Linked DNA regions of Schizosaccharomyces pombe. The gene in region 2 interacts genetically with the main gene of each other region. Each region holds a gene or a part of one and is shown on either strand. Other genes may lie near its edges.

Region 1 (8,966 bases), on a different chromosome or scaffold from region 2:
GTCTTATTCAGGATTTTACGATGCTATTGGAAGAGACAACGGACTAAAAGCCATCCTTGACAAAAAGGGGATTACGGATGTATTCATCGCAGGAGTGGCCACGGATATATGTGTCAAGGAAACTGCCTTGCATGCAAGACATTGGTATAATACCTATATTATATCAGAGGCTGTGAAAGGATCTTCGACTGAGAGTCACAATCAAGCAATAAAAGATTTTAGAGATGCCAAAATTGAAGTAATAAGCGAAAAGGATCCCATTTTACAATCTGTGAGGAAAGTATAGCCTTCTTTTCTTTATTCTTTCCCTTTATGTTCACGAAAAGTTATATTTAATTTATGTCCTTATGTTGCTCTATTTATGGAATATTGAGTGATATTAAATAACATTTTGTATCTCAATAAAGGTATTTCTTGAGATACTTTTCTGTACGCGGTAAGTTTAAATGGATGCTTCAAAAAAACTATGTAATGTTCAATCATTCATTTGCCTTTGGATTTATCAACTTCATTTCTGCTTCAGGAATATAAAAAATAACGAGTATTTCTCATACGCCTAGCCGCTGACAATGCGTCATATGATAAACTATTTCCTAATCGCACAGATATAGGAAGCCCATGTGGTGAGGCTTTATTCGTTAGTTTTTCTAGATTTAAAAATACATTCTCTTGCTCTAACGAAAGGGAATTGGCCGAAATAATTTTGAACGGTATTTCTACTCGATTAAGTGTCCTTGAAGTATTAGTATATATCTTAATTAAATTTTAATCCTTACCATAATTTATTCCCGACAGAAATTTTCAAGAAATGGTCAACTTCAAAATTTGAGCCGACGGTTATTGTTGCCTCTTTATCAGGTATTTGAATATGACATTCAGTTGTATACGTTTCTAGAGCAGCTATTCCATTCCAATTATAGCAGTTACTCTTTTTATTACATCTGATTGTTTCTTTTTGCAAACATTTGCATGTTTTGGAGACTTCTGAATTCTTTCGGCTTAAATTTAAATGGCTCATCATTTGCTGTGTCTTCCAACTTGGTGGATCGAAGCCAATAATACGTCTGTACAAACAAAGTTTTAAGGTTTTAATTGAGGATTTGCTATGGTTTTCGATTTTAATTTTCGAAACCACTGACTCACCGGCAAGCCAGTCTGTTCGGGGCAAACTCACAGTAATTCTTGTGGCCGATTTACGTTGACGGTCCTTTTTTAAGTCTGGTTGTTTACTTACGCACATAATGGAGGGAGAGTCTAAAAACGAGGATGGTGATATGCTGGGTAGTACATTTATTTCTTGGCATTCTCTCCGACTTCTCAATTTGTCTGCGCTTTGGTAAATTATATTGCTTAACTGTTAGCTTGCGTGTATCATTGTCACTTTTACTTACGCGTATGCAAAATACTGTACCTTTACCCTTGAATGGATTTGTCGGCCAGGTCCTACTTCGACGTGTTTAGGAAAATTGACTTGAAATGGAATGTCAACTGTTGAATGATTGGGAATACTGATTATCCGGTTTTTCCCCCTTTTTTTAGCATAATCTAAGAGTTCTTCTGGTACAATGTATTGCCCTTCCATGATGTGAGTTCCTAAACACAGGAAGACTGTTGACGAATGAAACTTGTGTTTACATATTCCAATTATAAAGACTTCGATACTGATCAGCTGAATTTCGTTTACTTTTGACTTATTAGTTAGTGTTAGCAGCCCGTCTATTCCTGCTTTTCGGTGGAAAATTGGTGCATCAAAATCCAAAGTAAGATTGACATCTTTAGTTTCCATTTGCGGGTTGGCAATTAAATCAAATATAATTTCTTTACCAGCATAACTAGTATTAATACATGTAATTACTGGTTCTTTACTAAATCGAAAGAAGCGCTTTCCTTTCTTCCACAAATCCATGTTATCTAGTTGGGTATTTGTTTGTTTACTTGTTCTGATTATTTAACCACGATTGGAATAACGAGCTTTGACAACATAAAACTCTGCGCTGAAAATAAATAATAACTTGTCAATAACTAAAGCTTTTACAATAATCCAAAAAATGGAATTTATATTGAAAAACTGATATTAGAATTTTGGCTACTATGTATCCGAGTTATGTATAGGGAACTCCAATTCCTGGAGAACTAGTGAACAACGATAGATACAGAGAATAACATGAGTAAAAATTCCAAAGACTTGAAGCACAGGCCGTGACATCAAGCGGTACATATCAAAAAATCATCCATCTAAAACTCTTCAAAGGCAACACCGAATTTGCATGAAGGATTTATATATATAATAAGGAAATAAATCATTGCAAAAAAATATAATTAGTTTAAAGTCGGTAAAGTCTGGTTGATAACTCAAATATTAACGTTCTTTTCTGCATTCGAATTGGGTTCCTCGTAATCAACAATTCCCGGATATTTTTGCTCAAATAACGTGTCGTTTAATTCCTCTGGAAAATTTGCAGGTCTATCACTTACGCTTCTGGAGGTTTCTGCACTTTGAATAGAAGCTACAGGCCTCAAATCGTTATTAAAAGACGTCTCTTGAATTTCTGTGTCTGTTAAATCTGGATTATGGAAACTTGAACTTGAGCGGTTAGCATAACTTCGTACACGCTCTCTTAATTCACTTTCACCTTCCAATCCTTCGTCAACATACTTGCTTGGAGAAAATTTAAAGTACGGATTTTTGTCATGAAAAGAAGGACGCTTCTTGTCAAGACTTGCCCGCTCACTATGTAAACTCACGGTTCTTTGTAAACCATTAAAAGTTCCAAAGTCGTCAACATCGGAGGCAATAGTGTTGGCAACAGAAGACGCGGTCGAAGTAGGATAAAGAATAGAGTTGGTTGAATCGGCAACAACGTCAGAAGCATTAATATCAGTACTAAGGTTTGACATATCTTGGGGTTCGATATTTGTCAAAGGATTGGCAGACTGTTGTGTGCGTTGAACGATATAGTCACCTCTAGTATTAGATGTTGTACGATAGAGCATAGTAGGACTGGAGGGGAGCCCCTCTTTAGATGTGTTTCTGGAAGTTTTGTTCGAATCTTTATGAGAAGGTGAATAATATTTGGAAAATGATTTGGCATGTCTAAGAGAATTATTAGAACCAAAATTAGTATTACTCAAATCATCAAGGTTAAAGGAGTGTTGCTCATAAGCCATAGAACGCGCATTGGGGCTCGAAGGTCCAGTAATTTTAACAGACGACCTAGAAGTGCTTGAAGGTCGTCTAGATACTGGACGATCAGGGAAATCAAAAGAAGACCTTACGCTACCAACCCCTTCCGAAAAATTTGTATCAAAGGCAGATATATCCTGAGTACCAGTGGTATGAGTACTATTTGCGGTTGAAGTACCAGCTGTCTGACGGAAACTAGCGAATGCATCATCAGCCAATTTTGCTATCTCTTGTTCCCTAGGGTTATGATGAGAACTAGTCGTAATATTAGTATGACTAGTAAGCTGTGACTCCAACTCATTTAGATCAGGATAACGCTGGTTAACAACTTCCTCAACGTCAACGTTATCGGCATCGAGTCCGGCGTTTGGTGAACCATTATCTTCTGTAACCTCGCTAGCAGAAAATTTTGAAGATGTTCCCGTGACTCCCTGAGATATTGGGAAGGGATTCTTACTTTGAGGTGTGTAGACTTTGCGACCACTAGCTCCTGAGCCAGTTACAGAACTTGATGAAACAACCTTCGGAGACGAAACACTCTGTCTGTTCACATCTTGAGTGTTGTTAAATGTTGCGGATTGGCTGTGGATAGAAGGATGTGCACTAGCTTGAGAAGTGCCAGAGAAAGTAGGTTGCAAAAATGGATTAGGGGAAACGGTTGGTACAGTCGGCACATTTGGTACGTTATAGATAGGAGCTGGCATAGGAGGAGGAGGGGGAGGTCTTGAGCCCTGAACCTGTGGAGTCGGCATGACTTGGTTTCCAGCAAACGGTGTTGTTGTTGTTTGTCGAAGCAAAGACATTATTTTCCGGTTATGCAAATCATAAAAAGACGACTCTCTTCCACTGTATATATCCCTAAAAGGTAAAGCCGTCCCTCTAAGACGACATATCTCACACATCAACTGAAAAATATTTGGACGAAGACAAGGATTCGGCTGAAGTAAAGCGATGATGACATTTTTAAGAGAATGTGAATAAGGAGGAAATGGGGGGAAGGAATATGAAGCTGTTAATATAGCGTTAGGACCTTGTGTTTCAAAAGGAGTTGTATAGTAACAGAGTTTGTATAACAAGACTCCTAAAGCCCACATGTCACTTTTCTCATCAATTCCTAAGCCTGAATACAAATTAATCATCTCAGGGGCACGATATTGGTAGGTAGTAAATGTGTTGATACTTTTTTCTAATGCTTGAATTTCGCTAGAGTTTTCAGCAGCATGCATTGGCTCAGTCACACTTCCAAAATCGCACAATTTAAAAGTATTAAAGCTTAGCAAAACATTTTCTACTTTCAGATCGCGATGAATGAGAGGAGGTCTCAGATAGTGTAAGGAAGCAACACCCTGTACAATATCTGAAATAATTTTTAAGACTTCATGCTCTGACAACCGAGTTTGTAACCTTTGATTCATAAAATCTATCAATCCACCCCCAGCGCAGTATTCCATCAAAAGCAGGATTTCAAATCCAGTGTTGACACCCGCTTTCTCGAGAGGAAATATGCAGGAGTCGATATACGAAACCACGTGGGGATTGGATTTGAGTAGTTCCTAATAAGTTAGACAAAAAAATCAATAACGTTAACATACCATCGTTTCGATTTCAGTTTTCACGAAACGCAGGGCATTCTCGTCTGGAGAATACATGCGTTTCAAAACAGCAGTTATCGGTGATCCATCAGTTTTGGAATTTGTTTGAACAAGATATACATGAGAAAAGCCGCCTAATGAAAAATGTTAGTAAAATAAATCTTTCATTGTAATACTCCTCGATCCATCCAACCCAAAAATTATACCTTCGGCTATGTACTTTTCGATAGTAACATTGTATTTTCCAATTACAAACTTGGATCCTGCTAGAAGCTTTTCGCCCGTGAGAAAGGATGCAACAGACATCCTAGAGAGGTTTTTTGTTCAATACTGGCTGAAGTCGCGAGGTTATTGTTTACACTCTCGCAATTCAATGGGACAGCATCCGAAGCCCTATCTACGTTAGTTGTAAATTTATTATAATAACTTACTCTTTGAAAAGGCTGTATTTACACAGTTTTGATCAAGATGAGCAAGGGATGCCAATTCTGCTGTTGGCAAGGTACTGAGCCAGTCACCAAACACCACAAGTCCCTTCTATAGGGTTAACCTTTGAGCCATTACCGATAGATAAAACCGCCCCCCACAAGACAACTTGCCGTATTTTGAAAATTTCAACTACAACTTTTAATAATTTGAGCTGATTAAGAAGAGAAATTAATTTTACAGTATACTCAAGTTCACAGGCAAACTTGTAGAATCAAGTTGAGTAACATCGTTACCCAAATTTATGACATGGCAAATTCACAGACATATAAATCCAGAAAAGAATAAAGAAAACAGAAACTGCTAACGACTATGTTCATTGTAACTAAATATTAAATCATGAGGGAAAAAAGTATATGGTCCTCATAAAAATAATTTATGAAGAGATTAAAATCGCGTTGCTTGAGTTCGTATTCTCGCATACGATCTTGCTGAACGATGGACACTCCGAGTCTTACTGTAACTTCTTATGACTAATGAGCTTTTTTTTTAAATTTGATCTTTGTTTAGCTATACATGAAACCGCTTTCTCAGATAAGAAGAGGTCTCAAATTTTCAACATTCGACGTGATTAAACGAATTTATATAAATCAAATGAAGTTAAAAAAAAAGAAAGGATTTCATAAAAATTCGTAGCTCACCTTACACACATTTGAACAAATACAAGCTGGGAACTTTTACTGAAGTCAATAACTTATTTTGCTAAACGAAGCTTATGTTGTAATTAACGAATGCTTAATTACAAGCTGCACATAACAACGATTCGCAGTATACTGAATAGTGAGAATCCGTATACAGAACGACTTGTTCGAGTTTTGAAAACAACGTCTCTGCGAAAACAAAAACGACATAAATCGTTGTTTTTTGTCTTTTGTAATATTTTAAACCCAAGCTATAGTAAGTGGTACCAAAAAGTAAATGTAATTCTTGGATTTGCGTCTGGTGATGGTTGCATGGAATACGCGATGACATCTTGTTCTTTTTTAAATTACAAATCGATTGTTAGTAGCAAAGCTAACCCTTCCAGCTAAAACTCATAATGACTTCTAATAGAAGTACTAGAAGCTCAACTAAAAGAGAGGAGGTCTCAAAAAATGGGGTTGAAAAAAGAGAATTAGATGAATCAGATGTGATGAAAAATGGCAAAAAGCCGGTTAAACGTGCAAAGGTCAGCTCTCTACCCAAACCCGTTCGTGTCCCAGGAAGCGCAAAGCGAATTAATAAGATACCTGAACTACCTACGGAACGATTGAACGTTTACGTCTTTGGAAGCGGTTCCATGAACGAGCTAGGTATGGGCGAAGAAGAAATGGATGTCGTTTATCGTCCTCGTTTGAATCCTATTTTATCTACAGATAAAGTAGGAGTAGTCGATTTGGCTGTTGGCGGCATGCATTCTGCAGCCCTTTCTCATGACGGTCGCGTATACACCTGGGGAGTTAATGATGACTATGCCCTTGGTCGTCTTACTAAGGATCAAAAGGATGAGAATGGAGACAAAGTTGACAATGATTTACTAGAGGGAACTCCTTCTAAGGTCGAAGGTGCTTTATCTCATCTACGCGTTACAAAAGTTATATGTAGCGACAATCTCACTGCAGCAATAACGGACAATGGCTGCTGCTTTACTTGGGGTACTTTCCGTGTAAGTAATTTGTTTTGGCCGTGAAAAATTATCATTTGATCTTTGATTCCAAATTCAGGTGCTGTTATCGTTGCAGTGTTGTTTATAGTCTATTGACTCATTGTATCATTTCCCTTCGCCCTTTTGGAACAAATGGCTTTATAAATTTATCATTTTTCGTTTGCTAACATACTAGTGTTCCGATGGTGTATTAGGGTATAGCGATTCTCAAAAACGTACAGCTGAACCGACGCAGATGCGACTTCCCGAAATTTGTCAATTAGCTACAGGGACGGACCATATTATTGCCTTGACTACCACAGGAAAAGTATATACATGGGGTAATGGTCAACAGTTTCAACTGGGTAGACGTATGTTAGAACGTCGTCGACTTCAAGGCTTGACTCCTCAACCGTTAGCTTTAAAAAATATTATTTCAGTTGGAGCAGGATCGTATCATTCTTTTGCGATTGACAACAAAGGACGCGTTTATGCTTGGGGCTTAAATATAACCAGACAATGTGGAATAGAGGTAGAAGATGAAGAAGAAGGCGCCGTTATTACAAAGCCTACACTCGTTGATGCTTTAGAAGGATATAATGTTAAGTCTATTACAGGTGGTGAACATCATACCCTAGCCTTACTTGAAGATGGGAGAGTGTTAGCCTGGGGTCGAGATGATCGTCATCAATTAGGAATTCCGGATAATGCACTTCCAGAAACAGTAGTTAAAGATGAAAAGGGAAACAATTACTACTTGTCAACCCCTACTATAATCCCAGGACTTACTAATGTTATACAGGTCGTGTGTGGTACCCATCACAACTTGGCTGTTACCTCAGATGGTAAGGTTTATTCATGGGGATCTGCTGAAAACTACGAGGTTGGTCAAGGTGATAATGATGAAGATGTAGCTGTTCCTACATTAGTTCGTTCCAAGGCAATCAAGGAAGTGGCGATCCGTGTAGCGGGTGCAGGTGGTCAATTTTCCATCATTGCTGGTATTCCCAACGCTTCCGAAGAGCCAGTTGCAAATGGCATAAAAAGCGAACCCGAAAATGAAAAAAAATTAAAAACCGAAGAAACTTCCAAAACGGATGACTCTCCCGTTACTGATGCAAAGCCCGATGTCACCTCTAACGGCGAACCATCTACCGCTACATCTGAATCTAAGGATTCTGTTCTCGAACCCAGCTCCACCACTGCTTAGTACTTAATTTCTCAATTTCTTTTAACTATTTTTGGGCTAGATAAATTATTTTGAATATCAATGTGTTTGATGCATACAAAATTCATGAGTTTTCCAAATGGATAAAAAAATCGCAGATTTGCTTCAAGAGCTTCAAAGCTCCTCCAACGTAACGAGTAATCAGCTTGAAAATGTAGACAAATCATCCATCCCTCTATCGAAGGCTCGGAAACCCTCTGATTTTGAGTTGAACAATTCTATAGAGGACGCAGAAAAAATTAAAACCTATCCCGCTGCCTTGAGGTACATCTTTGCCCTAAATTCCCGCCATCCCGAAAAGTTACAAAAATTAAGAAAGATGAAGGCTATGCAGGAACGTCAAGAGCGCAACTGGTCTCTGGAACGGCAGCGGCTAGTTCAACATTTTGAGTCGAAAACTAAGCTTCAAGAAATACTGAAACCGCTTTCCTCCGACCCTAAATTGAAACAACCGTCCAATTGTCTTAATGACCAGACCAACAATGATTCCGCTCAAACTTTAGATGACAATAGGGCTTTACAAGAATTTGATGAACAAGTGGTACAATTGACAAACAGGATGTACAAAGAACAGCTTGCAATCCTTGCAGACCTGAAGATACCATTGTTTTTGTCAGTGAATAATGATGAAGAGTTATCTGAAGATCAGAAGCGCCTCTTACAATTGTTACAGGATCTCCTTGGAGCCTAATAAAGTATAGATTGATAAATCCTTTCTGGTTACAATGTCGTTGTTGTTTTCATAAAAGTTTCTTTGTACAGATATATGGACACCAAATTAATAAAAATTTAAAATTACGAAAGTAGCTGAAAGCTGTCAGATAAATTTACTATGTAGATAAATATATTGAT
Region 2 (7,704 bases):
AGAAAGTTAAATTATTATTATTCTAGATGTATATATATTAACTTTTGAAACACGGTTTTACGCTTTGTTTGCCAAATGAAATAATCGAGTGTTTCAATCAAACGACTTAAATTCTTGGAAAAGGTAACTTTGATTTACGATAACAAATATATTTAAAAATTTTTAATATTGAACAATTTACTTTTTCGTTTACTCTATTTTGCCGTAAGCCAAAGGGTTTATAGATACATTTCACTCCCCATCAATGATTTATATAACGAAGCAACAAAAGCTTTACAAGTAAAATACAAATTCCAAAAAAAAAAAAAAAAAAAAAAGGAGTAATGTAAATATTCTATCATGGCAGTAGTTTCATTGCATTAAAAAAAAACGCTTTTGCAAAATATGAACACTGTAAAATGAAATAATCAATCATAAACTTGAAGATGAATTTTTAAAAAAAAATCAAAATTATAAAAAAAAGTTAAAAAAAATAGCTAAAGACACTACAGATCTTACAATCTTTGTGCGTCTATTTTATATACTATCAAAATAACAAAATATTAATAAACTCAAATATAATTTGCCGCATATTCATAACAGGCGATGTAGTACAATAAAACAGTTCGAAAATATTGAGAAGATTTTTTTTTATAATCAATTCATGAAAATGCCAAAGCTTCAAATATCAACTCAAAGAATGGTTATTATGCTGTCAACATCGACTTTCTCCGAGTCTATAAACGAAGCGAACGAGTTACAATTTATCTTCGTAATTGAAGATTAAATTATGTATTAATTCTGTAGAAGTTCAGATTCCATAACCTTAATCTCAGGTAGAAGTCGTACTTTTACTTGTATGTGCACGAATTGGAACAACATTAACAGTCTTCATTTTTTCGCATATTGCTCTACACTATTAAAACCGTCTTAAAATTGAAGACGATGTTAGAAAAATTATTTAGCCATCATTAGGAAATAATTAAATTAAAACATTTGAGGACTCATAGTTTCTTGACTTTATGATGAATTTGCAATTTATTTAATTAAGGACACTTAAATTTACAAGCTGAGTATTTATAAAACAATATTATAAAGAGTCATAAAAAGAAGAGTGATTATATAAATCAATAACTGAGACAAGAACAAACATTCGCAGGAAACATTTACTACAATATTATTATTTAGCTTGGAGCACTTGTCATGATGATATAGCGTATCTTTAGAAACTTGTACGAACTGCACAAACCTGGTTTTTCATGTATGCTGTAATACATCGTTGAAGTCCGTAAATTGCTTTAAACCATGCTGCGGCGAATAACATTATATACAATATAACCGTATACAAGTATAAGAGTTAACTAATGATTATATATATTTTGTTACAAAGTTATGCATTGCATAATATTATAATTAAATATGGAATAGTTACAACTAAACGAACGAAACATGACTTCGAAATTTACTACAGCTGCACTTAATTTAATAAAAGATTTTTTTTAATTTTGGAACGATAATTTTATATTTGCTGCGGAAATTGCGAATTATAGAAAACATAAATAGTAGAGATAATTAACGTATTGTAACGAAACAAGAGATTGCTGACATGTTAAATATACATAACAAGCCATAAAGATTCCATAAGCCAATTAACGCGATTTGCGGTCACAACACTAAGCATAGCTCACCATTCGTTTATATGACTCAATTGTCAACAAAACTCTTAAGATAATCATTGTAAAGAATTTAGGACTTTACAATTCCGGCTTTTCTTACTAATGAGTAAAAAGAAGCCTATAGTTCAATGTAAGTGAAATATTCTCTTTTAATTGTGAGCTAATGAAGTGCTGTTTAGATTATGATCCTTTTGACTTATGGCCCTCAATAGCTACGGACATTGAGAGTAAGATTCCCCTTCGCAATTTGCAATGGGTTGAATCATATCAGTATAAGAAGCACACTATTACAAGCTTAGATCTTGAATTTTTGCCTTGGTTAGAGGAATTTTCGTCTCAAGACACCTCAAAGGATCCTACGTTACTGAATATTCCTTTAGTAAACATGCTTTTTCTTCCAGAGCAGGTAAGTACAGTAAGGAAAGTTGACCTTGTAACCTACCATCAGCTTCCATAGTTATTCTGATTGACACGCACTAACATTGTAAAAAAAGGACGGTGAAATATACAAAACACAGCATAAGCCATTGGCTACAAAATGGTTCCAAAAAGTTTCGAAAAACGAAAATCAATCTTGGATGATTGTACTTGTTGCTGAAGCTCAGCAAGCAAAACGCTCCAACAGTTTGCGTCGCACTCATTCTCGATCTAGTTCTTATTTCGCTGTAAAATCGACCATTGATAGGGTTCGCGGAGATTTTAATACTGGAAATATTAATCATTGCGTACGACTAGACTATGTTCGATTTGGGACCCCCGATGCTGAAGGTTGGAACGAGTTCCTCAAATGTCTTGAGTGGGCCGTCCTCAGTTCATTGGATAGCAGATTTTTACAGCTTTCTGAACAAATAAGGTCGATAAAGTTGTTTGATAGCTCTATATTCTCTGATTACCTATTGTTTTTTCTTCAAAAGGAAAGGCTGGCCGCTAGCTTTTTTGACCTTGTGTTATATCGGGAATCACTAGAACAATGCGAAGACATGTTTTCAACGCTTTCTAAAATAATAAGTGCCATAGATGGAAAAAAAGAGAACATTTCCAAATACTTGGGAGAGGGTTCAGATGCTCAGCCAGACCTTAAGGATTTCAATTCTTCCTTTCTCATATTAGGATCACGATACAATACCCTCCACAATCTTTTAGCAGATGGCGATTTTACATTATTTCATTTCACTTTATTTCTTTTGTCAAAAATAATCTTACTGAATCTAAAAATATCCGACTACGAGAAAGCATTTTCAACCCTTCAACAGGCCTTACTATTTTTAACCTCGTCCTTCTTTAATGAATTCGTCCAAAATAATTTGGAAATAATCGCTGCATTTAATTATGATTGTTATACTCTTCTGTTTAAGAAAATTACTGAAGCTATCCACAACAATGATACCCCAATCCCATTGTGTTGTGCAAAAATTTTACTGTACGCTCGTCGCCAGTTAACAAGGATGGCAAGATGGAACAACCTGATTGATGATTCTTCGCCTCTCCTTTGGCGTGAGCCTAGTTTTCCATTGATTGAGCATCACGACAATAGCTTATTAGACAATCGCTTTCAAAAGCTTTCGGAGACTATCTCTTCGACCAGTTCGTTTCTATCAGAGTATTACAGGCTATCTTCTGAGGCTTTAAGTATTTTTAAAGCTTATAAGAATCGCTATTCTTTCGTTAATACAGCTTGCGATACTGGATTGGCACAATACCTACTAGAAGACTATGAAAACGCTTATGCTTCGTTAAAAAATGTGGACGTTCAAACTGCATGGTCAAATGATCCTTTGGAAGAAAAATGGTCCAAATTTTACGTAGACTTACTTGAAAAACTTGAAAAGTTTGACGAAGCTTTGGAATTTGCTTCAGCTATTTCTAAAGGGAAGGTATCAATATATAACAAAAACAAGATATTGGAGCTTTCGAAAAAGACAGCTAAATCAAAGGTTTGGAATCTGGATGATTTTTTTACAATAGAAATACCACATATGATGGCCGTGGTGCCCCACGATGATGGAATTAACTTGAGCTTTATGTGCGAGTCAAAAGTTTTTGACCTCGAAAGCGTTGATTCAGTTACATGTAATTATGTTCTTTCTTCGAGTAAGAATCCAATGAATCTACTATTTACGCTGCATAATAGTATAACGGACGGAAAACTTAACGTGCACTGTAATGTAAGTGATCCCACCTTTTATATGTTTATTAACAATGGAAATAGGATATTATTCCTGGAAGATATCATTTGAAGACAATAGTTTTTAAACTCAAAGACAGTGTGCTATCATTTCAAAAAGATTGCTTGCATTCTAACAAACAAATTGAAGTATTGAATCCTACCAAGCATAGTAACCATCTGTATATACTTCAATCAAAAATTTCGCAGCAGTTTCAGAATGATGGAATATTTGCTTGTATACCTATTATGTTTGGTGAACGATTTTACAAAGCAAGTTGCTCAGAGATAAAACTATCTTATATAGAGAATAGCGGTTTTACAAATTTGGAAAAGTCTTTCCTTAGTGAAGAATCGCATTGTGGCCTTGAATCAAAAACTGATTCCTTGGTGATAAAAAACATCCAAAAAGTTCCAGGAGTAGCCAAGTTGTATATACCCCTAACAAATACACCAGTTGAAGGAAATGAAGTATGTAAAAAAAAATATTTCACTATTGCTAACCTTATTTAGTTTCTTATTAACTTGAGCTACATCTTAGAGTCTGGGCAGACAGTTCGATTTGGTAAAGTATTACATATTGAAAATGCTGGGATTGTTGAAGCAAATTGCGAAAAAACAAATAATATGAGGGATCCCCTTACGAGTACAATATTTTTACATATCCAACCAAAGGAGCCCATCATTTTCTGTTCATGGAATTGCATGCGCAAAACCAAGCAAGGTACATATGATAATGTTTTTGATATACCTTACAACATTCCTGTCTTATCCCCTATGGATTGCTTTACGAGCTGCCATTTTGATTCGGATATGTCAATAGATTTGAAGTTTTCCATGAATTGTCTACGTCTTGCAGATGTCGTATTTATGAAATTATGTGTAAACATATGGGAACGGTTCGATTTCATTGACATCGAACATATCATGCCGTTATTAGACCACGCTTGTCAACAGATTTCTTTATCAAACATTACCCAAGGTACGGTAGTACTGCCTGAAGAGATTCGGAAACTTAATGGCAAGAAAATTTTAAACTCATTTTTTGATAATGAGGAGCTTCGGAATGAATTTAGTGAATTTATTCAGCATTTAGAGAGCGAAGTATCCTTTAATAGTCTCAGATCGTTCGTTCAAGAGTTTGAAAAGAAGGAACGATTAAAAAACTTACCCTTCTATTTTTCATTGCATCAAACAATTGGACCTTTACCCTTCAAAGATGAAATGCAAAGTACCACTATCGAGTATATATGGAAGATTCCCCAGAAGGTTTTGTTGAATAAACCTACCGAAATTACACTCACATTCCTTAGATCTTTGACACATTCAAAGAAAGAGAAACAGGGACAGTCCTTCGAGATATTTTACAATTTTCCAGCTTATACTACAACAATCTTGTTTGCTGGACCTACTCAACGAAAGATTGTATGGGAAAAAAATCAAACTACAGCACAGGAACAAGTTACGGCGGTGTTTCTTACGGCTGGGAGAGTAATGCTACCAGAAGTAGTTGTTCATTCAAAAGACGATGATATTTCCATATTGAAGAATACAAAGTACACTCTAGTCGGGCGTCCTTTGAACGATCAACCGGATCTAGATTATGCACCTTAATATGAATTTAGTACGGTAATAGAAAAACAGGTATTTTTCCTTTCGAGATTTTTTCTAGCGCAAGCGCCTGGCTTCACGCTCAGATTCTAACAAGACGAGAATATCATCTTCACGAACAGGACCCTTGACGTTACGAATAATGGAACGGGATGTGTCATCCATGAATTCGACACGGACTTGAGTAACACCACCACTGTATCAATATTAGTTTTTAATTCGAATATCTATCACTTTGTTACATACCGAGATCCAGTACGTCCGAGAACTTTGATGACTTTAGCCAACTTAACTGGGACCTTTGAAGAATCCATGTTGTTAGACCAAGAAGTCTTTCAAAATGAAGTTTTGTTGTGTTCAAAAATGACAGTCACGATATATTTTAGCACCTTGCTTCGTAATGCACTATCTATAGTATTTTGCCATTTCTCTCAAATAACGATGTGTCTAATCATTAATAACCTACGTTGTCGTTGTTGTTCGTTAAATCTATCTGTTATGAGAATGCCTCAGTTACGAAGTGTAATATATAGAAGTTTGCTGGTTAATTAGCTCTCCGGTCCTTCCTACATTTATGTTAATTTCAATTATTGTGTGAACATTTATATTTTAGTTGTTCAGTAGAAAAAAAAAATTGATTAATGTGAACATGCAAATAACGTAAGTAAATGGTAAATAAAAGCAAGCTTCCGCTTGCCAGCAAACGAAAGATATTGCTTTGAATAGTCATAAAACTGATAGAGTGTTGACAGTTATTATTCAAACGAATCAAGTATGAGAGGTATATTCACTGCTGTCAAAGGTTCAATTGACTTTGATATGCGCAACACTTGAAGGAAATCACTCATTAAAGCAATGTCATCGCTTGCGTTAATGAAGCTGGCAGACGCTTGCTCAAGTTCCGAGGCCTTCTCTTCGGCCGCATCAATTACCTTCTCAGGTAAGCCGGCCATACTAGCAACATTCATACCGTAAGACTTAGGGCAAATACCATCTTCCAGCTTATACAAAAACGTTACACGTCTGATTTTTTCATCAACAGCTGCAGCCATCTGCATCAATCGTACTTGTCGATGATGCATAAAATCAACGCAAAGACTTTGATAATGTGTAGAAAAAAATCCCAAACACCCAATATTAGAAACCAAATGATGAAGTACAGCGTAAGCTATCGCGTGACCATCATAAGTACTAGTTCCACGACCTAGTTCATCTAAAATTACCAAACTTTTAGGTCCACATTCGTCCAAAATTTTCTTTGTCTCCGAAAGTTCAACCATAAAAGTACTTCGTGCCGACATTATATCATCATTGGCACCTAATCTAGTGTAAATGCTGGTCATAGGTGTTATACTAGCACGTTTAGCCGGAACCCAGCACCCTAGTTGAGCCATTATAACAGCAATACAGACTTGACGCAATAATGTGGACTTTCCAGCCATGTTTGGACCGGTCAAAACAATCATGTTTGGGGATTCACCTCCTAAAACGACATCATTAGGAACGAAAGTTGAAGCCGCACTTGCGTTTATACAAGGATGTCTCAACTCCTCAAAATACAAGTGTCCGTCCTTCTGTTCAATAATTTCCGGTCTACAATATGGCTCACCCAACGCTGCGGCTGCTTGACTAAGGCTGAAAAAGCAATCAATAGATGCAGTATATTTAATTAAAGCCAACCATTGCTCATAATTAGAATCGAATCGAATATAAAATTTCTCCTGCATTCGCGACATAATTGCTAAATGAAGCTCTTCCGCCTCTAGTAATTTCTTTATTTTCTTTCGTAGTTCATCATTATAGTATCGATTGGTTTTTTTGGTACCTGACATTTTGCACCAATTAACCGGTACTTTAACATCGCTTGGGACTTCGACCTGATAAACCTCTTTACCAATATTTTTAAAATTAAGAGACGAGCACCTTAGCTGCTTCTTGTATTGCTCTAAAAGCGCATACAATTCGTTTTTAAGTTCGGACTGGTATTTTTGAGAAGTATCATATTCGGCTTCAAAGCCAATCTCTGGTTCGAAAACACCTTCTTCTGAAGCCTTTTGCCAATTGAAAGCTCGGGTCCATGCTTCTAATTCCTCTTTCATGTTAGGTGCACTTTGAATTATCTCTCCTAGTAAAGTTCCTTCAGCGACTTCCATGAATTCCTCGCGAAGCTGATCAAATGCACTATTTATTCGTTGGAATCCTTCTAATACTCGAACAAAATCTGCGGGTTTACTTCTTCCGGCATGCACCCGTGATATCAACCGTTCCAAGTCA

The links.
Region 1: mutations in trs130 (region 2) and ppk29 together harm fitness more than expected from each alone (negative genetic interaction), as found in Schizosaccharomyces pombe (one large-scale study listed by BioGRID).

The regions. Positions count from the first base shown.
Region 1 is NC_003423.3:2,488,164-2,497,129, reverse strand, and holds ppk29 (Ark1/Prk1 family protein kinase Ppk29), read right to left. Parts: upstream 5,285-8,966; 5' UTR 5,208-5,284; exon of another isoform or gene 5,170-5,207; 5' UTR 5,083-5,169; coding exon 4,983-5,082; intron 4,911-4,982; coding exon 4,777-4,910; intron 4,738-4,776; coding exon 2,353-4,737; 3' UTR 1,912-2,352; downstream 1-1,911. Other genes in the region: nicotinamidase Pnc1, read left to right, coding at 1-286; SPOM_SPBC557.05 (arrestin, meiosis specific), read right to left, coding at 520-733, 777-1,349, 1,392-1,906; pim1 (RCC1 family Ran GEF), read left to right, coding at 6,302-6,907, 7,083-8,096; SPOM_SPBC557.02C (uncharacterized protein), read left to right, coding at 8,194-8,805.
Region 2 is NC_003421.2:1,821,617-1,829,320, forward strand, and holds trs130 (TRAPP complex subunit Trs130), read left to right. Parts: upstream 1-1,704; 5' UTR 1,705-1,757; coding exon 1,758-1,785; exon of another isoform or gene 1,786-1,834; coding exon 1,835-2,061; exon of another isoform or gene 2,062-2,149; coding exon 2,150-3,820; intron 3,821-3,864; coding exon 3,865-4,290; intron 4,291-4,314; exon of another isoform or gene 4,315-4,332; coding exon 4,333-5,433; 3' UTR 5,434-5,487; coding exon of another isoform or gene 5,488-5,626; 3' UTR 5,627-5,676; coding exon of another isoform or gene 5,677-5,744; 3' UTR 5,745-6,185; downstream 6,186-7,704. Other genes in the region: rps2802 (40S ribosomal protein eS28), read right to left, coding at 5,488-5,626, 5,677-5,744; msh6 (DNA mismatch repair protein), read right to left, coding at 6,186-7,704.